Linked DNA regions of Styela clava. The main gene of each other region encodes a partner of the protein of the gene in region 2 in a complex. Links are inferred from orthologs where the notes say so. Each region holds a gene or a part of one and is shown on either strand. Other genes may lie near its edges.

Region 1 (8,578 bases), on a different chromosome or scaffold from region 2:
GGGATTAATCTGGCCAAATAGTCTTATAATTCTCAATGCGTGGTGTGAATGTTTCAAAAGCAACATTTTACATTTACCTCACAAGCGTCAGATAACTTGACATGCATTGCTAAATTCTGAAATTCATTAAAACTCACCTCTTGATTTTGAATAAAAGAGATGCAGCTCAAACAAACTGGAGATTTAGATGCTGAATGCGTGCAGAAAAATAACAAGGAAAAAAGTAGCAAGAAAAACAAAGTATCCAAGCCAAAAAAGGAAAAACATAAAAAATGTATAGACAAAAGCACTATCAAAAGTGAAAATGAAGTTTCTGTGGGCCTGGTTGTTACAAAGAAATTAGATACGAAGAAACTAAACATTAAAGTGGAGAAGGTTCATGATAATAAGATGACTGAAACACCTATTGAGAAACCCATCAAAAAGAGGGAAAAAAAGAAATTGAAAGATGTAGAAAATGACATAATGGAAGTGGAAACCAATGCGAATAATAATGAGAAAACTACTACCCTTGATGGTAAAATGACTGAGGCTGAAATTTCCATTAAGAAATCCATCAAAAAGAAAAAAAAAAGTAAAAGAAAGTTAAAAGAAATGGAGAATGGTGTAGAAATTGATATAATTGGAGTCAATAACACAGCCATGGATAGTAACATACCTTATGCTGAAATTGCTATAGAGAAAAAGCCTGTCAAAAAGAAGAAAAAAACAAAAAAGAACTTAAATGAGGGGAATGATATAGGCATCGTTACAACTGAAGTTGAAAAGACTGTTGAAAATAAGAAGAGGAAGAAAAGTAAAAAGATTGTTACTGTCAATGAGAGTTTCAATGACAAGAAAAAGTCAAAATTAAAGGAAACAAAAAACACTTCAACATCTATAACATTAGAAAATACAACAAAACGGAGGAAAAAGAAGAAAAATAAAAAGGACGTAGAAAATACCTCAAGCAACCTAATTATTTTGGGTGTGAATGAAACTCTTGCCAGTAAAACTGGGATGGAAGAGCTGGACAGTAAGAGTACGTCCCCGCAAAATGAATCAAATATATCAGTAAGCGATGAACTGAAAAATAACAAGCGTAAAAGAAAAAGCAGTGCAATCACGCAAGATGATACTTCAGCTGATTTTCCAGTTAAGAAAAAGAAACGGAAAAAAGCTATGCACAAAGAAATAACATCATCTGAAGCATCAGTTGTTGCGAACATGAAAGGTAAGTGATTAAAAATGATTGTTTATTAAGAATATATTTAAGTATTTGTGATATGAAAAAATTCTATCCTGTTGTCAGTGGCAATATAAAATATCCAGTCATTATCATTTTTTAACTAAATAATTTTCAGGAGAATAAGTTTGATAAAACTATTTTAAAATAGATTCATCTTCTGTTGAAAATGATGTGAATCATAAGAAGAAGAAATCAAAATATGGTAAATTGACTAAGTTTTTTTTCAAGTATTTGCCTAACGAACATATAGTGTTAGGCATTTTTAACGTTGGTATACAATAAAATACTTCATTATTTTAGGTCATATTTCTGGAAATGATGTTCTTGACAAACCGAAAAAAGATGGTCAGCACCAAGTATGTATCACATTAGCTTTTCTTGACCTTCTATCTTACAGATATATCTTTGCAAATATCAGAGAAAATTGTGTATCAATATTCATTAAGAAAGCTGCTGTGACAAATCAAAATAATGAAAATGACGACCAATTCTATGTTATTGGCTTGCACTTGGAAACTGCAATACCACTTATAATTATCTTATCCCCATATTATACCACCTTCTCCCTGATAAAAGATGAGAACCTTTAGTTTTCAGACCTAATAATATCAAATGTAAAAATATTGTCATGTCTCTGCAGATTGTCACAGGTGAAGAACATCTAGATACTGATAAGCTTGGACAATGGAAGACGGCCAAACTAGCATCATCTGCTCAGCAGGATAAATTTGCCAGATTACTTGGTTGTGCTAAATCCAAAGATTCAGCAGAAACCTCATTAACTCAAACAAATTGTCAAAGCTTGCTCAGTAAATTAACTGGAGTTTGGAAACCACCACAAGGAAGGAAACTTTGGGGTACATTACAAAACAATAACAAAACATTTTCGACAATGGCCCCAGATGAAAATGAATCTAAAAAACTTGCTAATAACCTTGAGACCCAATATAACCAGACACTTTCATTTAATTTACAAAAAAGAAAAGAGGGCAATGCAGCAAAAGGCTTGGGATTTGAAGAAGATCCAGCAAAAGGGAAAATAAACTACATTGACATTCATAAAATGAAGTCTATAGCATTGGACTAAACTAAGTTAATAATATAAAGGGTGTGTTTGTTCATGAAAAATGTATTTATGAGTGTAGATAAAGCGCCAATACACTGTCCTTTAGGGCAATGGCATCTATACAATATTGTGATAGCATAGTAAGTAAGGTCCATCAAAGCAGTGGCAAAAGGGATGAAATGTAATAGAATCGCGTGTTATGGATCGAAGCAGTGAAAGTGTATCGAATAGTATTCACTCTGATGTGGGCACCTAATACTATACATCTTTTTGCAAACACCCGAGGCTTGTAAGGTCCATCAAAGCAGTGGCAAAAGGGATGAAATGTAATAGAATCGCGTGTTATGGATCGAAGCAGTGAAAGTGTATCGAATAGTATTCACTCTGATGTGGGCACCTAATACTATACATCTTTTTGCAAACACCCGAGGCTTTTATACTATTGGGAAATCATCACGTAAAGACCCAACTATTAGACCAGGGTTTTTGTCTTGACTGGGTGCATTCCAATCAGGTGTTTTTACACACCCTGACAGGAATGTCATGAAACATGTTCGAGCAAGTTAAAAAAAATTTAACTATAAAGAATGGGTTAGGGTTGCACAAGCCTGTGTAAGTCAAGCAGTCGTCCAAAGGTGGTCGAGTTCCGATAGCTTATCAAGGAATAGCAAACTCTTGGATTGCTTTAATTACTTTTATTCAAAACAGAAACACATGTTCCAATTTGTCTACAAGAATCCGACATACAGAAATCAAAAATATAAAGATGAACTTTCGATTTTAACAAATAATATGACAATCACCAAAGCGAGATATCTGTATTTACCAGACTTCGTTTTTCATGAATTGAACAAAAGGTAAAAAGTGCATTGCGTAGATATTGAATTATTTAGCGTGCACCTGGCCTTGTTCTACAACTTCCATAAATTGCTTAATCATAGATAGTAGCAGCAGTTCCACGCAGAAAGTAAATTTCTTTGGCTAATTAAAGTTGACCTTGAAGCAAACTGGTGTAGTACCACTTCTCAGCTTTTTCATCAGTAACCTCTTCTGCTTCGTCAAGTGCCGGTGCAGCTTCTAGGATTTTAGTTGCGGCTTTACCATCAATTTTGAATTTGCTGTCACTGCAGCAAATGTTTTCCATTGCAAAATCACATTTCAAGGTTCCGGAATGACTTTCAACCCAGAACCTATGAGTTTCAGCAATTGTTTCTTCAGCGAATTCACGGTCTTTATAATCTCCATTAAATGCAAAACAGTTCGCTGGTTTTCCATCTGGTATCTTGTAAATTTTAAACCATTCACGAGTGGCATCCAAGTATCCAGGTTTCATCTTCTCAACATCTCCAATTGAATTTATTTTTGGAGCGTCTTCATCGTTAACGTTGATTCCTATCACTTTCCAGTCAGTTTCTCCTTCATCAATCATGGCAAGAACACCAACAACCTTTACTTGAATAACTTCACCACGCTTGCAGATTTTTGATCCAATTTCACAAACATCAATTGGGTCATTGTCACCACACTGACCTGTATTCTTGTCTTTGTGTCCTGGGTTTTCCCAAGTCTGTGGAATTGCTCCATAATTCCAAATATATCCTCTGTGTGGAAAGCAATTAGCAACATATCGGAGTTTCCCCTTTTTCACATCTTGTTTAATTGGATTTAGACTCTCTTTTGTTGCAATTTCCATCTTGCTGTTCGTCCATCTTGGAACCTCACAGACCATATTGTACACTCGTGGGCTTTCCGAAACCAGCCATGGAATGTCATGCAAAGGGGAGATGTATTGCCCCTCGCTGTTTTTATAGTATATTCTATAATCAAGCGTGTTTGGACGCCCTCTTTCTTCAGCGACATAAGACATGATTCTTGATATATTGGGTGAATTATTCGAAATTACTCGGCAAAATCCTCTATGCACGAAAGACAACATAGACCGGTGTACAGTCGTATATTATTATAAAAAGCCTGCTACGCAGATTTACCGTAACTTATGCCTTGACAAACAAAAAGTGATCACCCCGCCCTCCACTAAACAATCAAAGACAATTCCGCGATTTAGAGACGCGGCCGCAACGAAAACGTGGCCGGCGCCGCAAACGGTGTGAATGACTCAATCAAACTTGATGTACCAGTTACTCGAGCAAAGTCCGTGCAGAGCTCAAACTAAACATCTATTGTACATCAGTGTCGTCTGTCGCTCTACGCCAGTGCTCCGCAACCTTTTTTACCTTGCGGCACACTTATAAAACTTACCAAATTCGACGGCACACCACAACAAACAAAAAAAAAAGTGTAACTTTGTATGTTCATATTTCAATGAGAAATTTGTGGTTGTATATAGAGCACAATCGCTCTATATTAGGATCAATACGTGAAAGAGCAACTCGAAGTTCGCCGTCAACATCATTTATGTAGGATCGTTCATCGTTTTTGATCAGTAATAAAAAGGAAAAGCTTTGTTCGCACATATAAGTTATGCAAAAATGGAGCAATACTTCAATAGCTGCATTGGAAATGTGCGCTTATAGTCTTCTTTTTATTGAAATCCAAAACACATCGAGTGGAATTTCACTGAATTTGAGTCTTAACGTTCTGTCATTTCTTACTTCAAAGAAATTTTCTCGAATACGCAGGGGTAATTCTTTTGTTGACATTTCAGCACTAGTTGATAAAGGATTTCGGATCCAGTCGTATCGCTCATTGGTAATTGCGAAAAAGTACCAGTACTTGTCATATCTTTGCTCCATTAGATTTGAGTGCTTTTTCGCCAAATTTCACACGAAACCGTGATTTGTATTTAAGTGGCGCATCAGTTTACTCGGAGCCATTGCCTAATTTGAAAGTTGCTCCCCACAAATAACGCAGACTGAATTTGGAGCATCTCCGTTACCACAGCAAGAAAATCCATAGTTTATGTAATCTTCCCTGTATTTCCTTTTGATAAGTTTTTTTTATAACGTTGCTTGTGCTAGGTACAATATGTTGCTCAGTATCAGATGTTTTGGATGTTCTTTTTAAAAATTTATCCATTTTGCTAAACTTTAACGTTCCTTGACTTTTTTAATCAAAGACCACTATGGGCAATGATTCTGCAAACTCACATTTCAGGTTTATTTATATTCGATTACTACACGCGCTATGTTTTACCCTCGACAATGATTGCAATCTACTTGACATATAGGGGTACTCCTCGTTACGTCACAAATGTATAGTGGGGAAGTCAGGAATTTGATTTGGTGTCGCTCAAGCTAACGTAAAAGCAAGTTCATTTTAGTAGAGAAGTAGACTGACGTAAAATTAACAAAAGATAAAAATAAATTGAAAAAGAAGAGAAAAGTTGCAATTCCTGTGCGGCACACCTGGCATCGTCTCGCGGCACACCGGTTGCGGAACACTACTCTACGGTACAAAAGCATGATGGTGTTTATTCAAAACTTCTCTCTGAAATAGGCCCGAACAAGCAACTTTTGAGATATGAAAAGTATTTATTCGAAATTATATGCTATAAACTGATTTCTGTACAAGCATATACTGAATATTATCCGTGTGTTCCTTCAACACAGTGGTCGGCAACCTTTTTCAAGTGACGGACCGGTAAAGCATGACCAAACATTTGGCGGACCACCTTTATACAAACGAACTAAGCCTATGCAATACATTATACGCATTAGTGAATTTAGGTTGACAATGTACTAAAAACGACGCGATGCTATTTAATGAGATATCTTTATTTGTTTGATGGCCATTAATTGTTCACATATTCGAGATATGGTCGACATGGACGCACGTAACGTGTTTCTTACATCCAGCCTATTTCGTTTTTGTAGTTATCAATATTGAAAACGGTTATGCAATGTAACGTTTATTGCAATGTAAAATTGTAATCTGCAGATATTACAAGACGCTTGCCAATACTTATGGGTCGGCTAACTACTCCTGACATAAGTTCTACAGTTTGTCAAATTAACCTTGAGTTTGCAAAAACGAATACATCTAATGGAAATATTATACAAGAGGATTTCTGGATGGTTATTTGACATCCACTATATAAAAGTACATGCGTCCTGAAAAAGTAACTGGTTAAAAGTCTTATGGTCAGTGGCGTGTCGGGAGGGGGCAAAGGGGAAACCGACCCGAGCAGCACGTTATAGGAGTGAGTTTGTTGCTCAGTTTGATGATTTAAATCAGGGGTGGGGAATCTTTTTTACAGGCGGGCCAAATATCAATAACTGGGTAAACCCGCGGGCCGCACCTTCATTTAACATATGCTTTCTATTAGTTGCAGGCACAAAATAGTGTCTTTTTTGTTATTGATCTCATGTCGTCATCATTAGGGTCCATACAGAAATGATAGGTTGAAACGCATAAATTTCTTAAAACTGTAATTCAAATATATTGTCACACCCAATGTTGACGAATTCAGTGAGAAATTTGCTGCTGGATTCTTTTCCGGACTAGTTTTATCCAAATTTGCTTTAATGGAAGTGCGGGCAATTCGATATGACGCCCATTTTAGAATAAAATATGTAGCCGAAAAGTGCCATATTTGAAGCCATGACTTTTTTCAAATTTGCAAAGTTATCTTGGTTGAGATGTTTTCGGTAAAATACGCCAAGATTCATTTCCAAATAATTTGCTGTTAAATCTTATTCTAGTTTTAGATTTGAACAAAATCAACTGATAAACTGGAAACAAAACTCATTTTGCTTTTGTATCTCTTAATATTAAATTTTTTCAAACTGCTTTCCATTTGCCTAATCTTCAATTGCCCGTTCATACAAATTCATTAGGGTCTTCTCCGCATTTTCCTTTAAATTGTTCGCTGCATCGCGTTGTCTGCTTCGCTGTTTGGACGTTGTAACGTCATAGGCATAGATAATAAATTGGACTCGAATATAGGCTTTGCAACGCAAAGGACACCATATCAAACTAATATAAAAACTAGTTTAGCTGGCCGCACACCATTCAAAATTGGCATTACTCCGCGGGCCGCACAATTTTCCCTCGCGGGCCGCACTTTGCACACCCCTGATTTAAATGATACTATTACAAGCATTTTTCTCTCACTTGGCATTTAAATGATACTATTACAAGCATTTTTCTCTCACTTGGCCTTTAACTTATATATTTATTCTCGTGTATAACAACATCTATAATAATTATTTTTGAAGTTAGGTATAACTAGGCTTACCATACGTCCCGCTTTAGGCGCGACAGTCCCGCTTTTTAGCGTCTTGTCCCGCCGTCCCGACAAGTCAACCAAAAGTCCCGCTTTTGCGTTCTGCCATCCAGCATAATACACGAACATGTTCTCGTTACTGTTGTTGCCGTGTAGCGCAACGCTAGTCTACTTACTGAAGGTGAATGCGTTATTTTATTTGTTCCGTTATGTTAGCGAACGTATCACATGTAAAATCAATTCCAATTGGTCCTGTTCGAACGTTCACGTGAATATAACATTGAGCAACGTCTTCTTGAGAAAGTGTTATCTACAGAAAAGCATGCTTAGTGAATAAGTAAATTCCCAATGCTTGAAAACGGCAGACTATTTCATTATGCTTTATTCCTTTTGCTGTACATAGAAAAATCTAAATTCGGATCATTTGTATCGTTAGCGTCTAATCCTTTCTATTTTTCGAACTGAATCCGATATAGAATATGCGCATGAATTCTCGATGACAATATGGTCAATGAAGACAGCCGGGATGGCCTTAAAATGTAGGCCTATGTAGTAAAATCGGAAACTGTAAAGTTACAGGATCACAGCTAAGAGGTCGTGTCTTTGGAGGCGTCCCGCTTTGAAGTCCAAAAAATATGGTAACCCGAGGTATAACTTTTAAGGGGCAGCATTATCAGAATCTCGCCCCGAGTAGCGCGAAAGTTTGACACACCACTGCTTATGTTCGACATGGACTGGTAACCAGATGGGGAAACGTAGGCCTTTATCAGATAAAGTCTTCTCATTACCCTTTCTTTCGACCTGATATGAAAATCCGTTCTAAGCTGTCGACTAAAAACATGGTGGAATGTTTTCTGAGATATGAGAGGTGGATTTGTCATGGTTGTGAAACTTGTTGCCACATCAGAAAAGTGTTCATTAAACTTCTATCAATTTGTGCTACTACATTGCAGTTCAACTGACAGACATAAACTAGTCTAAATTCTGCAAATTGTATTTTACCCTGCCCTAATTTGATTTTTTGAAAAGCAAGTGCAGACGTGTATTAATTTTCTTCTTACTGAGTAGTCCAGCGTACAGTTTCAATAGTCTGTATGTG
Region 2 (8,984 bases):
TTGAAGGACTGAAGCTCTTGATGGTCATGTCAGGTGAACACAAATTCTTTGTACATTTTTGGACTTTGAAATACTTACACAAAATAAAATTCAATATGTAGTGAAATAGAAAATATACAAAAGCAACATGATGCGTTTACCGTGATTGTGAACACTCAGATCTCAGATCAAGCATGGATCATGGTTAAGTGTTTAAAATGATTTAATTTAGTGCGGAAATACCTTGGTCATAACATAAACCTGAAAATACCATATTATTGTTACATCATGACCAAAGATAGCAGGGCTACCCAACAAATAGGGGTATCGGAACAAAAAGGATAAGCCAACTTATCTTAGACCAAACCATTAAAATATGATTACCAATAGTAATACCAACAACAAGCTCACCTCATAAACACCAAGCACTGGTAATACCAGGTTATTTGGTACCAGCAGGTCTTTACTAGATTCTGGTAATTCAAGAGGGGGACAATCTTCATCCATTTCAATGTCAGAGTAATCTGACAAATGCATTGAGGTGTTTTCTGAATAAAATTTCGACGAATTTTCAAAAAGTATTTATATATAAATGATCCCGACGTCAGGAAACTCGAAAAATCCAGAATGACGGGAATACACTTAAAGTCGATCTTTAACTCACAGGTGTGCAACATTTTTTGTCGGTTGGCCATATAACCAACTTCAGACATCTAGCAGGGCCCGGCATAAAATTCAGTTGACTATGTGGAAAAGATAAGAGAATACTGCTATTACTTAGCATTGGAGTAATAAAGACACCGGGCAGAACGTTGAAAGATTCAACACAGTGATAAAAACAAAAAACATTATGTATTTTTACCCATTCCAAACATAAACTGTCAGATTAGGATTTAATGCTCGATGGGGAAAAATCTGAGTGTTGACAAGGGCCGTCACACTGAACGGCTTGGCGGGCCGGGTTGTGGCTCGCAAGCCGCCTGTTGTGTTAGCTGTATATTTATTGTATTTCTGGCAACTAGCATTCTCTAAGATGGCTGAGCATGACCTGTGACGTCATCGGTCACAGATGACTGATCATGACTTTATCATGGATTTATCAAAGTGATCAGGCAGACCACCTGTTGCACACCCATGTTTTAATTGATCTAACTGATAGTTGCCGATTAGTTTTCACCTTTAATAATCGTCATGGGTAGTAAAAACCTCTTTCCTAATGTATATTAACCTAACGCAATAAGATTAATTTAACACATGGTTATACCCAGTTAAACTGTGTAAAGTATCATTTTCTTGTAATTTGTGCTTTTGACTGGTTGGAAAAAATACTTGATAGAAAATGATCATCTCTTGGTAAAAACCTTTTTCACCATGCCATTTATCTGAGTGACAATTTGGTCAACCACTGACACCTTTAAAATAAAGATTATTCTATTCCCAAGTCAGAATACATCACACCCCCGACACACCCACTTTCTTACCCAATGAGGAGACATCATCTTCTTCTGCTTCATCAAAACTAAAATCATGATCAGAATCATCCGAGTTTAGTCCTTTGCTGTCAACATCTGAGTCTTCAGTGGTGGCCTGAGTCAAAAAAATTAAATTTTCAACAAAAACATGACTCCAAGCACATCAAGTTGATTCACTCTACAGTAAGAGTGAAAACTGTTCGCAATTTAAATTTAACTAGGAGAGTGAACACACCTATGGCACGCCCATTTATTGAGACATGCCCTTACCACACTATTTGTGGCAAAATATTGTCAAAAATATTGTTAATATACAAAATAAGCTGCTAGAATAACGCTACAGCAAAAAATGGTTCTACTCCACCCACATTTTAGGGCACAGCCATAACACACCCATTTTTTTCTAAGCCACGCCTCTGACACACCCACCCTTTCCTACACAGGCGATACATAATCATACATAATAGAGTTGGCACATCTATGCCACGATGTTGTTTAAAGTAAAAATTTTTGTCGATATGTGAAAGGTATGAAGATCAGCCCTCTATAGCGGACACACCTATGTCACACCCAATTGGAGTACAACATTGTCAAAAGAGGAGTAAATTATGTCCAGACTCCTAACACACCAACCTCCTCAGACACCCCAATAATAGGTAAATATGCCTATGTCACACATATTTGCAATTCAACACAGTACACATGCCTCTACCCCACCCACATTTTAGGCCACACCCATATCTTTCTAAGCCACGCCTCTGACACACCCACCTCTTCATCCTCTTCAGGAGACACATAATCAATTTCGAATTCTTCATCTTTCTCCAAAACCATTTTAAATTTTTTCTTCTCATTTTTTGATTCTTTGTCTTTTTTCTTGTTCTTTAATTTTTTGGAAGATTTGCTGAAGTTTGAAAGAAAAATAAACATTATTTGAAAGTTTATTTTTCAAATTTAAATGCGATTACGATCAGGTTAGAGATATGTTTTCTAATCGCACATATATAAATTCAAATGGGATAATTAGACGCAAAACTCCAAGATACACAGAGTGGTTCACATGACAACTGGTCGATTATGAATTTCTTTCCCATCAAATACATCTAGACTCGGGGCCAAAAAATTTGCCCACCTAGGCTAGGGGGCCATGTGAGTGTGACATAAAAAGATACATTTTATGAACAATATTTACAGTGTTACAAAAGTAAAAGTGGAAAACAATGAACCCCGTGCTAAAATTAAACTCAATCGCAAAATAGCTTAAAGTTTTCATTGTTTCACTCTGAACAAGACTCAAGACAAGCAGATACTCGTACATGATGGGGTAATACAATTCTAAAAGATGGAAAACCACATATTCGCTCCCAATGTATTGCACCCACAAGATAGCTCAGATTGTTTGTTTTTTTTACAAAGGTTTTCAGAAGTGTTCTTGTTTTTTATTTGGGGAGGTATATCGGATTATTCTTCCAAATAACTTTGAATATTTTTGTCCAGGTGGATCATTTTGCAGCAAAATATAATGCCCGATATATAAACATTGGGCTCTTTGGTGTCAAAACATATCTCAGACTCAAAACCAATGATCTATACCTCACTCAGGGTGGAATAAACGAGTCGGGCTATTCTAAACACAAAGTAGATACTGACATATTGTTAGCTACTTGTCTAAAGCCTACTTTGGAGCAAAGAGGTTCAAATAAAATTTATTAAGTAGATTTCAAGAATTCAGAATTTTATCTATAAATTATTAAAACGAAAATTGTAGTATGGCATTAATTATGTTCAATTTTAACTGTTTTATATACCCAGAATCCAAATCATTTTGTACTGTAGCCCATAGGCGTATCTACGAATTTTCAAAAGGGGGGGAGGGGGGGGCTCTGGATTTTCTGATTGCCAAGTTAGACAGCATGAGCTAGCAGGTCCGGTCGGAGGCCAGAATAAGCGGCTTTTAATGAATCTTGAGAGTCTGAAAGCTAAAAATGCCTTTTTTACGTTTCAAAAGGATGCTCCCTTCACCCCCTCTGGCTACGCACCTGGTACAGCATGAAAGAGTGTGGGGCTCAAATGTGTTGAGGGGGTTGCGGATTAATTATCTTGGTTTTAAACCCATGCCTACAACCTCGCCACCCTAAATGTAATAAATACCCAATGCCGAACTAGAAAGGTGTCAGCCTTCCCGAAAATATATTCAGTAAATGCTTATACAGGGCCTTATTCGGGGTGAACACATGTTTAAAATGCTGACTCATCAGTTTTTTTACCTGTTTGTTGATAGACTTGAAGGTGTTGATGCTCGACTGCTTCCTGGACTTTTGTTGCTAAAAAATAAATGATAGGTATTAAAAATCAAACAACAACAACTTGAAGCAGAAAGAGTACGAATAATGTTACGAGTGAGTAAGAATGAATAATATTTCTTTGTAAGTTGTGGGAAAAGTTGCCAGACAGAAACCACTGGTTCCCTATACAGAGTGTCCATAAAGTCCCTTCACCATTTTAATTCTGTTATGAAGTCAGTTCTCAATATATCTTAACTATGTTTGTTATTTTTAATCAGTAATTGTTCAGGTATTTTTACTTCATTCAATACATCTGTGAGGGTCAAAACAATACATGGTATCGACAAATTCCCTTTAAAAAATTTCAAGACTTTAAGGACACCCTGTATATATATAAATAAGATCAGATATATTCTATAATGGCATGAATTCGCGATTGATTTGCCGACCAAGCCGATATATAGAATTAAATAAATGTCAAACAAGTCTTTTCGGACAATTATAAAAGCATACTGAAGAACAACTTTTTAAGCACTTTTTTTGAATAGAAATTCGAAACTTCGGCAAATTAAATCGTTTTGCTATACACCAGTTGTGCTTCACTTATTTCCGACATGAATATACTTGGTGACAATCATGCGCTATTTTTAAGCATATTTTTCTCATATTTTCAATGTTGATTTTCAGAATTTAAATTCGCCAACACATTTACCACACAAAGTGTTTAATTAACAACTTTAACTGGGATTGTTAGGTCAATTCCAATTTTTTTACAAACTCTTTATTTTTTTTTAGCGAATTAAAAATTAGGTTATTGCTTTTATAGAACAATATTTAGTGAAATGCAAAAATAATTCAGTCTTCTATCCTGCAGAAACATTTCGACTTCGAACTATACTCCAGAGGGTACATTGCGCAGAATTTTCCTATTATATTTTGAAATTCATTACATATATGGAATTGCCTCTTTATTAATCAAATTGAAATCAAATGTTTTGTGTCTAGTGTTGAACTGCATTTACTGGCAGATAATTCGTCAGCATAATTTTATGAAATTTCAGCCATTGCCATTTGTACCCTGATGTAAATAATTTAGCCGGGTGTATTTATACGACAAAGATTTGAGCAAACTTTTATAAAGGAAGAATAAGAAACAGTATTTGTGAACAATTCATATCATTTTTTAAAGAGACATCTAGACTAGAAGCAAGACCAACTAAAACTATAAAGACTTGGCTATAATAGCTTTATGTTCACGAATATTAAAGGTGTTACGGTAGGCTTCAAGACATTTGTATCAGAAGATACCTGCTGACCTGAGAGAACAGCCAGGACAAACACCAATTGCAAAATTGAGTGAGACAATAGCTTATTGTGCATCAGTACTTATGTCTACAAATGCACACACAGATGAAGCTATTGCTGTATTGCCTTACTACCCAATGCTTCCCTAGCTTTGTTTCAAAGAAGGGTAAAAATAATTAATAAAATTAAATCAACACACAATTGACTTCCGCATTTAGGAAATCCCAAAACCCTTTCAAAAAAAATAGGGGTCTGCAACCCAAACTGTCAAAAAAAAACTTTCCCGCGTCTACGTTGCGTAAATTCGGTTCAAAATGGTTTCCCGGGAAAAGCCGTTTGTAAGACTTGCTCGCCGGGTAAAATTTTCAAAATTTCGACAAAAAGCACGTCCAAGGGTGATCAAAATCACAAGACACGGTTGAGCAAGCACAGTGACATCACACAACAACAATTCTTAATGACCTCACAGTGACGTCATCATTTACCTTGGCAACAACTTTCGGGTTGCCGCAACCCACCCAGGTGAATTTGTCAATTTCTTCAATTCCGCGTTGACTTTTTGATCTCCGGCGAAACAACTAATCCATTCACCCTCTCCGTTTCGTTGCTTTTTCTTAAACATTTTCAATTTCTCCATTTTCCACCCAAAATTATTGAATTAATATCGGTAACTAAGGACAAATCACGTATATTCCATCGCCATTGCGTCACTAGACCGCCGCCATTAAAAAACGTCCAGGCACCTCGCCGTTGAATGTCACGTGATGCGCAAATTAACGATAAGCATACTTGTCGATAGTTCAGCACAGCGCTCCATAATGTAATTTCGCCTAACTCGCGATGTTTTCATCGTATTTTTGAATATGAAATAAAGCTTATTAAATTATTTTGGCAAATATGATCTACATAACAACTGCTTTTAATCATTAATGTTTTTTCTGTTTTGCAGGATCTCAAAAATAAAAAGTGTAAAAAACAGGAAAAACTCAACTGCCCCAAATCGAATATTGTGTTAGCTAAAATGTACCCGATCATGCCTCCGATAATATGAAACGGAAATAATTGATCATAAACGTTGTTAGTGTTCATTAGTTAGAATGAGGAATTATATAGATTTAGTATAAGGCCTGAATCGAGCAAAATAATATATAATTCCACACGCCTGCTCACCAAAATATTAAATTGGTACTATAGATTAAGGCTCGGCAATAAAATTGCCAACTTCTGTTACAATAATGGTTATTGTTGTCGAATTAAAATAACAATTGAATAATGCAGTCTTGATATTGAAAAAAAGCTGAATAGATGCAAGAGAAATCTTCTTAGGCCCAATGTTGTTACTGTAATTCCGAGCGCATTGGTTGTCACCAAGAGCGTAGACAGTCCAATATTGGGGGCGGGGGGGGGGGGGGGGGGGTTGGTTGGTTTAATAGGACGCTCACACTTACTCAGGTCAGCCAGATAAAAGCGGTCACATATATGGTGACAAACAGAAGTGAGAAAAGTTTTTGGACCCGGGGCCATGTAAGTGTGACGTTAAAAATTACATTTTATGAATAATATTTGTGTAATAAAAGTGTAAAATAATGAACCTCGTGACAAAATTGAGTTTAACTTGTTTTTTAACTAAACTTTTGTTTTCAACTAAAACATGAAAATTAGGTTTTAGTTTGGTTGTGAAAGCATCCGCGGGCCATATTGAATTACCAAACGGGCCCGATTTGGCCCTCGGGCCGTAGCTTGTCCATGTCAGCTCTAAAGCCTAAAGCGAATTCGCTGTCGAAGTTATCCAAGGTATACAAAGGCGCAATTTCATCTATCTCGGTTGGTTCATTTAGTAGAGTCTGGAGGAAGGATTATTGGTAGCAACCCAAGAAACGTCCGGTTTTCGGTGAATGTGGGGTTGGAAAAGGCATATAAAATCATGTCTTACAGCAAACCCCGAAAAATTGCATTTGGAAAAAATGTTGAAAAAAAATTTACTTCTGAACCCTTAGCCCCGGCAAGATTCTAATTCTACCAAATATGAAGTAGGCTAGCTCACTACATATCGTTATTGCATAATTAATCGAAGCAAAAAGCGCGAACAATCGACATTTTTGACAAAAATTGACAAAAAGTTGCCAACTCGTCGCTACAAACAAGAGCGTAGCCAGTCCAAGTTTTTTTGCTCAATGACGTAACACTACGCTTACTCGTGCCTTTTGCTCCGAACAAAGCCAGATAGAAGTAGTCACTGATATATACCACTATCTTAAATCTCTCTGCATACTTACTTCGCTGTCGAAGCTATCCGAGGTTTTTAGGCATTCGTTTTCATCTATCTTGTTTGGCGGGAGGATTGTTAATAGCAAGCCAGATTATGTGCGGTTTTCATCAAATCGTTCAAGAATAGAGCAAAATGGTGCTGGAAAAGGCGCATGAATTCATGTCGTACTGCAAATACCGCAAAATTGCATTTAAAAAATATCATGTGACCGCAGCACATACACACGAAAAATACAAAACTGGTGTTTTCTACATGAGCGCAGAAATAAATTCGATGAAATTATTCTCAATGTAAACATGTCTACGACTCTACGAAAGAGGCGGTTTAACGAGGCTTGGTCCACAAATAAAACACACGAATGTATTGAACTTTCGGACTGTGGTACTTCTAAAACACTTAGCTAATAATATTCAATCTGATATCGTGTGGAATGCATTATTCATTTCTTTGACAGACACTGAGACTTTATCATTTACGAAATACTTTTTACAGTCAAGTACGTTTATTTTTTTGCATCATGATGATGTCATAATACATGCATAAGAATGGTTTGCGCAAATATATCTATTACGTCATAAGTAATGAAACTGTAACATGCGCACAAATGCGCGATAGTCTTTGGAGTTTATAAGTTGATGCTGCTACATGCTGATCTATTTGTATTTACCAATACAAACTGTGTTTCTGAAAATCTGAGTATTCATATGTTCATAGCAACGCCTCTAGGTATCTTGACGATAACCCAACGAGACATATTTTAATTTTTTAAAATATAATTTGATCGTACTTAGGAATGGAACGAGATTCGATATCGAATTCCCACATTTTCAAGATTCGGATTCAATACCAGCAGGTTCGCGTATTCTTGCCGAGTCCGTAGTCAATTATTTTTTCACAAATTGAAAAATCCGTTATGTACGTTCACCTTCAAAACGGCGAGTACAGACAATTCAAGATATTTATAATATTTTTACTCAAGGTATCGCAAGCTTCTTTAATCCACACCCTTTCTCGATAACTACCCCACTGACTAATCTACAGCCTACATACCAGTATTTTCCCCAGCTTTTCGTTTGAGATGGGTGTTTCAAAATAAAGGGGTGGTAGATATTTTGTTATTAGTAATAAAATTATTTGTAGCTTATATAAATGTGTTATGTGTTTGACTAATCATCTTCACCGGCATATGAGCCACTTTCTGAATATTCAAATACATTTTTATTTATGTTCAGAATTAAAGTGTGGTGTCATACCTCAACATTAGGGAGGTGTAGGGATATTACTGCTACATACTATAAACTTTTTGAGCCGCGCCCCCTTTTTAGAGTTTGTCAAGTCTCGCACCCCACCTCAAAAATAACTAGATAACAATAAGCTACAAATAACAGATAGTAGAGCGAAACACGTTGAAAATACGTGGATAGAAAGTAAATATCCAAAATGAGGCGGATAAGATCAAATCTAACAAATATATTTTTTAAAATTAGCTTCACGCCCCTTGTGAGGCGCGCCCACTATTTTAGAACCACTGTACTATGGTAATAATGTTATATTTACGTGTATATATGTGTATTAACCATTAAGCAAAACAAGCAAGCGCTGATTGTAGCCGCGCCGAGTTGCTAAATGCACCGGGAAATTTAAATTATTTTATTAAACTTAACCAAATATGAT

Evidence for each region.
Region 1: nucleosome-remodeling factor subunit BPTF-like (region 2) and inorganic pyrophosphatase-like share a complex: the UniProt entries of both Drosophila melanogaster proteins name them as parts of the NURF complex. The link is inferred for Styela clava from reciprocal best matches to the Drosophila melanogaster genes E(bx) and Nurf-38.

The regions. Positions count from the first base shown.
Region 1 is NC_135256.1:11,804,549-11,813,126, reverse strand, and holds inorganic pyrophosphatase-like, read right to left. Parts: upstream 4,425-8,578; 5' UTR 4,231-4,424; coding exon 3,280-4,230; 3' UTR 2,975-3,279; downstream 1-2,974. Other genes in the region: uncharacterized protein LOC120327500, read left to right, coding at 160-1,213, 1,377-1,430, 1,529-1,584, 1,869-2,315. UniProt on the Drosophila melanogaster protein: Component of NURF (nucleosome remodeling factor), a complex which catalyzes ATP-dependent nucleosome sliding and facilitates transcription of chromatin.
Region 2 is NC_135262.1:1,331,977-1,340,960, forward strand, and holds the start of nucleosome-remodeling factor subunit BPTF-like, read right to left. Parts: upstream 5,786-8,984; 5' UTR 5,679-5,785; coding exon 5,527-5,678; intron 3,776-5,526; coding exon 3,719-3,775; intron 2,356-3,718; coding exon 2,223-2,355; intron 1,567-2,222; coding exon 1,461-1,566; intron 528-1,460; coding exon 391-527; intron 1-390. UniProt on the Drosophila melanogaster protein: Histone-binding component of NURF (nucleosome remodeling factor), a complex which catalyzes ATP-dependent nucleosome sliding and facilitates transcription of chromatin.